Arabidopsis thaliana: one gene and its partner. The protein of the gene in region 2 interacts with the protein of the main gene of each other region in a pairwise test. Each region holds a gene or a part of one and is shown on either strand. Other genes may lie near its edges.

The links. The genes of interacting proteins can lie anywhere in the genome.
Region 1: the proteins of AT5G08480 (region 2) and WRKY24 interact in binary tests that used the Arabidopsis thaliana proteins (3 or more experiments, as listed by UniProt).

What each region holds. Positions count from the first base shown.
Region 1 is NC_003076.8:16,622,442-16,626,041, reverse strand, and holds WRKY24 (WRKY DNA-binding protein 24), read right to left. Parts: upstream 1,886-3,600; 5' UTR 1,823-1,885; coding exon 1,470-1,822; intron 540-1,469; coding exon 353-539; 3' UTR 65-352; downstream 1-64. Other genes in the region: AT5G41560 (DET1 complexing ubiquitin ligase), read left to right, coding at 3,423-3,506. UniProt on the Arabidopsis thaliana protein: Transcription factor. Interacts specifically with the W box (5'-(T)TGAC[CT]-3'), a frequently occurring elicitor-responsive cis-acting element.
Region 2 is NC_003076.8:2,741,222-2,745,188, reverse strand, and holds AT5G08480 (VQ motif-containing protein), read right to left. Parts: upstream 1,871-3,967; 5' UTR 1,346-1,870; exon of another isoform or gene 772-1,345; 5' UTR 704-771; coding exon 182-703; 3' UTR 78-181; downstream 1-77. Other genes in the region: PEX1 (peroxisome 1), read right to left, coding at 2,458-2,496, 2,590-2,862, 3,095-3,212, 3,429-3,490, 3,570-3,695. UniProt on the Arabidopsis thaliana protein: May modulate WRKY transcription factor activities.

The DNA of each region.
Region 1 (3,600 bases), about 14 Mb from region 2:
GGACCCTAACTTCTCTCTGTTAAGTATGTAGAAAAATATCAAAGAAGTTGTAGAGAATGAGGGTGGGTTTAATGAAGTTAGAGGAAACTACCTTTTCATACTTACATATGTAACTAAACTTGTTTTGTCTGGTATTTGTCAAATCATCGGCGTAAACCGATCATAAACCAGAAATCAGGGGATAAAATTCAGAAACATTTGTAAAAAGTCGTAACTGTTACATTGGTTTAAAATCTGATCTACACACTTGTGACTTGTCACTTGGGAGATGTGGGTCGTCAAACGGTCAGTGGGGTGATTAACACCTTAATCACCTTTAAGTAATTACACCATTAATTAAGCCATTATATATTCAAAGATTAGAGAAACTGGAGAGGAACTGGAGTTGCCTGAGAAGAGGATTAAGAGTCTCCATGAGCTTCTCACAAGGATGGTTATGAACGCCTTCGTAGGTCGTTACGACGACGTTTGGATCTTTTGCCAATCTCTGCACTTGTTTCTTCACGTTGCATGTGTGGTACGTACATCTGTAATAGCTCCTGCATTTTGTGACACAAGATTAATAGTTTCATCTATTAATTCTTCAAATTTTTTTTTATAATTCATATGAAAAATAAGTAGAAGTTTTGGGTGTCTATGCAAGACTGATTTTAATTTCTATGAAGTCTCATGAAACTATTTTTTTTTTCTATTTTTTGCTAAGAACGTAAATATCATATAAAATGAAGTAGAATTGGATTTATCTCTGCTTTTGATTCCCTAGCAAAAAGGAATAAAAAACAAGGAAGCAAATTAAATTACTTTTCATCTGGATGAAGTTTTCATATATATATGAGCCATAAGCCCATAAGAAACTATATATTTTATACTGATCTAGAACTAATTAAGATCATTTTCTTGACCAGAATATTGATGGATACATTATACATATTTGAGTAAATCATCCCTTTCCAAACAATTTCATACTCGGATGTGGTAGCACATAAAGAGAATCCCTATATCAGGTTTATACATGTTTCTAAGATTATATAATTGCACAATAATTAACTATATTATAGGATAATCAAATTATCAGAAAAGAAAACTATAGGATAATCCTTTTTTAAAAATCACATCTATTCTCATGCTTTGTTTTCGAAAATTATCATCACATCATAAATTTTCGAAAAGTACGTACGACAGATTTCGTTATAGGCTTTAGTAAGGGATTGATTTCGTTATATAACTATTACTAGCTAAACCTAAAAACTATGGTATTTTTGCAACTAAAAGATACATTTTCTACATATATCAGTTTAATGTTAAACACAAGACTAGATCGTACTGGTTGTTAAGCTAACCTAATGTTTTGTAGCCACGAAAGTTTTTGGTCGATCCAATATTTGGAAATCAATTTTAATATGATGTCATAGATTCACGAATAAAATTATAAATACTCTTAATTAATACAACTATATAGGTAAAAGTACCTGGGATGAGCATTGTGCTTGACAGATTTCTGCCCATATTTTCGCCAACGATAACCATCATCAAGAACATCATCATCGCTCCTCGTATGAAACGCAATCCTTGGAACTTTCCTCGATCTCTTCTCTTTCAGCTCCTTCCCTTTCTCACCTATTTGATCATTCTCAGGTGGTAATGGCGGCGCATGCACATGAAAGCTTTCTGGATACCAAGAAGAAGAAGATGAAGGTTCCACTTCACCGGAAAATGTTGATGGAGGCATCATCATTAGGGTTTTGTCTACAAAGGAAGAGAAGGTGTTGTTGTTTTCGACATCTAGGCGGCTTAACATAGGATTTATGTCTTCTCTGTCCATTGTTATAAGTCTCTTTCTTTCTCTATCTCTCACAATATTTATAGATGTGTAATGATAGATTGTGAAGAAAAAAGAAGGAGAAGAAGAAGAAGTAAGGGTAAAAGGGCATTGAGGCCAACTAAGTTCACCTAATTTTCTGTTCAACTGCTTTTTACCTCCATTTAGTTTCCTTGTGTTATTAAACTTTTATTATTATCTCCCTCATTTTTCCTATCTCTTTTTTTCTTCTTTTTCTTCTTTTTTATATGAGAGATTTGTATTGGCTTGGTCTAATATGTCGACATGTGGTTATATTTCAATAAATATTTACTACTCGAATATACGTACCTAAATATCTTTAAGTAATTAGTATTAATTAGTGTTTTTAGTCATACCTCACATGTATATGTTAATTAAAAGTTTCATAGATCATCAATTGTACTTGATTCAACTATATATTTTAAGTGACTTTTGTTTTTGTTTTTCTTTCGAACACACATGATATACTGTACGATCATATACTAGTAAACCATTGAATCCTATCAATTTAATTGAACTTATAGTGGAAAGGTGTAGTAGACATTGCATACATACATCATAAAACGTATGTTCAGGTTGAATTTAGAGTCAAAATCAATGTAACTTGGTAAAATGCTAAGTAGAATGATTTAGTTTCCTTGTTTTTTTTATGTATCTCATACAATTCAAGTGGCGTGGCTCTAAATTTAATACGGATAAGCGACTAATTCAACATAAACATGTTATTATGGTTGTAGTGGTTAAGAATCTTATTTGACCCCCAAAATAAATCAAGCCTTTTAACTCTATAAACACGTGGAAGTTTCCTTTGACCTATAATGAATGCTACATATGTAAAAAACCAACATTAATCTCACTGAAAGACATATATGCGAAGAAGAGAGTGCATGTGTTTTTCTTTCTTCCTCATCTTTTTCAGACTCTTTCTTAAGGAAAAAAACAGTGAAATTACACAATTGAAAGATAAATATTTTCAGTTTCGATGGTCATCGAAGGAAGATGGAATTTTATTAATTCATATTTATGAATGAAAGTGAATTGAGATCAAAATATAAAAAAAAATTAATCAATTTGACTAGTCTAGAAAACAATTTTGGAGAATACTTACGAAATCAAATTCACTTATCGATTCTATAAAAATATAACACTCCAACATAAACCATCCGCAGATTCCATAATTTTATTTTCACTCGCACAAATTTGAAAATAATTTCTTAATAGATTATATCTTGAACCGATTAACTCAAATACGTTTACTAAAAAAATTTCAACACAAATTATAGAATCAAAAAGTGAACCTTGTTGATATAGGCACTTAATTAATTTTCTTGAAATATTCCTATGAACCATAATTGTTTATTCATATTTTTTTTTTCTTTTTTTGTAAATAAATTGTTTCTTTATTCATATTCATATATAAAAAACAGAATCTCTATTGTTATTTAGAGAAACATTAATTTGAAGCTGGTTCTAGAGGTAGGCCCAATGGGCCCATAAACCCTTTTTCGTTTCTCCCTTTTATATCTCTCGTCTCTCTCTCTCTCTGTCTGAAGAGAAGGAAAGATCATCAATCACGATTCCAATGGCGTCGATTCTGGGTGATTTGCCTTCCTTTGATCCTCACAATTTCAGTCAACATCGTCCCTCCGATCCTTCTAATCCCTCTGTTAGTTTCTTCCCCCAAATTCAATTTTTCAATTTTACGGATCTGAGTTAGGCTTTACTTGGTCGTATTGGAAAAAAAATGTGTCCTTTGTTGA
Region 2 (3,967 bases):
CGCTGCGAAGCTAGATCATGATGGTCTACACAAAGCAATTGCACATATGACACAGACAAATCTTGAGTGAACAATGTAAGAGAACAATCTTCCTCTTCCAATGATATTGTTGTGAAACTCTACATGTACATAATCTTTGGGATAGTAGGCAGAGAACAAACTTATGATTAATCTGTCGGGTTTATGGTTTGCCACTCGAATTGGGAGATGTTAAAGGAAACAAAGTAAGCAATTCTGGTTCTGTATACCCCGGTTTAGACCTTGGCGATGGATGCAAGTAAAAGCGTCTTTCTTTAATGGCTTTCTCCTCTTCTTCGATGTTTGTTGTACAACTATCTGGTTCCCCTTCTATCAAGGACAAGTTAGAGAACAATGAAGAAGGGGTGCCCACTGGACTTGTTAAAAGGTTGGTATTACCAGATTTAGATGATGGTGTCGTACCAGTGGGCTTAAAGCTCAGAGGAGGTTTGACAATTTCAAGCTTTGGCCTCATACATTGCCTTCTCTCATGGAGCTTTGAAGTTGGCCTCTTTTGTATGGCGGTTTTTATCACTGTTGCTTCTGGTGTTGCTGCTGCAGCGTTGTTCTCTGTTGGACCTGTCAAGCGCTGCACAATTTCTCTGAAAGTGTTGGTGTCAGTTTGGACAAATGTAGTGACAGGCTTGCAGGTTGTTGCAACGTTTTGACTCCCTTTGCTATTCATATGTAAGTGTTTCTCTGACAAAACAACCTTTGATTTACACCTATTTTGGTCTCTGACCTGCAACAAAACTACCGTTTATGCAGTTGATGAGAAGATGAAAAAATATTCAAACATGAAAGGTCCTATCAAGAGAACCGAGGAATGTCAACTTCATGTGAGTTCAGAGATTAGATTGATGGAAGGTTAGAAATACTCAGAAGTCTTCTTGTAATCCAAAATTAGGTATTTGTTAAAGATTTCCTTCGTCATAATTTTTCAAAAACAAGCAACTCAAAACATAAATAGCTACAGATACAAAAGATGAGGTAGTCGTGTACTCAAACCTCACCACTTTTACAAGAGCACTAGATTCTTATGTGGGGAAAAATAATAAAAAATTGGCTTCTCCTAAATTTGCTTTGACTTGTTGTATACTCAAATATCTATATCAAAGTTTGGTGCTCTTACTAATTGTAGGAATGACAATGAAGAGGGCTTTTCATGTCCTAAATCTATCTTCATCGTCATAATCATCATCTTTATGGTGGTTACTAGTTCATATGATGAGAGAACTGTTAATAAAAGTTTCTATGTAGCATTCAATTTACGATTTGATAACCCTACAGGAGTCAGAGAGAATGATAAAAAGGTCAAAAGGCATACCTGAAGAGCAAGCCGAGGCAACAAGTGGAGGTAAAATCGAATGAGAATGCCGGATTTTTTTCTGAAGAAATAGAACTTAAAACAGAAGAAGGAAATAAAAAGAGAGAGAAAGAACTAAAAGAAGATATAAAGACTGTTGTTGGTCTAATGGTCACAGCTCAGAACTTGTTCATATTACCAGAAAAGAGAAGAAAATGAAAAGAGGAAAATCAGGAGAAGAATATGGAGAGGAAAGAGGAAAAGGACTCTTTTATCCCTTTGTTCTTAACCGTTTTTGGGTTTGGGTTTTTGTCACACAAAAAAGATAATAAATTATTTTGTTTATAGAACTAAGTTTGTTTGGTCAAACATCAAAATGACATAATTTGTGATGAGTTTATTTCATTGTTGTCGTGAAGGAATGGAGAAAGGAAGTTAAAGAAGGAAGAAATGCATGCCGTTTCGGTTAAGGAGATGGGTAGAGAGAGACGTCACAGCAACCTCTCTCCCCCGCCCAATTTATAAACCAATCGTTTTTTTTTTTTTGGCTGTCTCTGTTGAATGTGATGAGATATTATTAACTGTACTCATGACAGTTTCTTAACTGACTCTATTCGTCCTCTGTGGATAATTTTGTTGACTCATTTCAAGTTATGGCCATAACAATTAACAACATTATTCACTGGCATTGTCAAAGATAGGAGGCAACAACCTTTACCTGTGAGTTACGAATACGTTGTCGTTTCTTTTCCTTTTTTGCTTTGGACTGATAAATTTTGTTGCACGATAATAGTTGACTCTTTTCTATGCGTTTTTATTTCATTTCATACACAAAATTACGGAACTTGAATACCATTTTTATCTTGTTTTGACCAAAAATATTACAGCTTTTAAAATTCTAAAATTGCCAAAAGAAATGTATTAATCTTATTACTGTAGAGATGTCTATAGTCGTTTGAATCTTGTAGAACTTACCATGTGTCTCTCTAGTATCTAACTATCTTTATTCCAAACTTCAACCACTTTTACTCTAATGCTAACAACTGGGCATATCTATCATAAAGCAAATTTTACAACATGATGTGATTTCTACAATGTAACCATTCCTTTTTGTGTCTTTGTAATACCTTTGATTATGCTAAGGTTGCTCTTTTGCCCTTTGCTTCTCTTGACTACAAGCAAAATAAGATTTTGATGTTGTTAGTAATCAACAACTGGGTTTGTATAAAAGGGAAGAGGAATTAGAGTGGAGATGAGAGAGATACCGATTTTCTTGAATCCAGAAACTGGCTATATATGTCATAGAGCTTTTGTTTCTCGGTTTCGGAAACCGATGGTTTAGTTTTAGAAGCAATCGACTTCAGAAGAGGATCAGTTATTATTGGTGTAGTTCCGGTCTCGGGTTTATCTTCTCTGTTCAGATACTCGTGTACAGCTGCAAGTTGCGCATCTGAGAGAAGAGCTTGAAGATCAGCTCCACTGAAGCCTTCAGTCATCAAAGCTATAGGCTCTAGGTCAATATCATCAGCCATCAGAAGCTGTAAAAATGCAGAAAGATTTTTTGTCATCTTAACTACTTGTAATATATATAGATAAATCTTATCTACATATTGTCTAGGGAGACCATCAATTGAATGTCAGAATCCAATGGAAATCGCTTAGCCATAGAAGATTCTAGTTAATGGTCGTTCAGATATGTAGCATACATACTTTACATGAGACTTGAGGACAAAAATGATTAGCAGAAATGATGTAACTGAGAGTACTAACCTTTCTAGAAAGAACTGTAAGAATCTCTAATCGTTCTGGTGGGGAAGGAAAGTCGCACAAAAGAAGACGATCAAGCCGGCCAGGCCTTAGGAGGGCAGGATCAAGTAAATCTGGTCTACTGTTAATTGAGTCATGTATCCATTATAAAGTCATTATCCCTCTTTTGTATGTAATGAAAAACATAAATTGAGGACTGAGCACAGGCTTCAAGATTATCATATTTAAGATTTATTATTAACTATCAACTCAGAAGAATCCACCGTTTGCAGTTGATTATATGATACATCGAACACAAAATATGATATGCAAGATAGACTTATTCGGGTGTGAATACCTGGTTGCAGCAAATACAAAGACCCCTGTTAGAACTTCAACTCCATCCAGTTCTGTCAAAAACTACGCAAAAGAAAAATATGACATGAGATGTTTGAACTTTGACTTGGATAGAATTTGCTCAGACTTTGAAGTAACTTACTTGATTAACAACTCGATCAGTTACACCAGTATTATCATGTCCTCTTTTGGGAGCAATTGAATCGAATTCATCGAAAAAGAGTATGCATGGAGCTGCAGCTGCTGCTTTCGAAAATATATCACGGACCTGAGAGAAGTGTGTTTTCCATTATTGTATATGCGGAACCATTAGGATAACATTTTCAGATTTTTATGTAAAGAGACTAGCAGGAATAACAATTAAAAAGGAACAAAGCTGTCTGAAAACTTTTCTCTAGAAACATTTTCAGAGGTTTCTTTATCATTCTATTGTTTAATACAAGGTAAAGACTAGGCAAGAAACCCAGAAAAATCAAAATAAATTCAACAGTATAGATAATAGCATGCGTCACTAAAGAACTGAATAGGTTGATAACCATC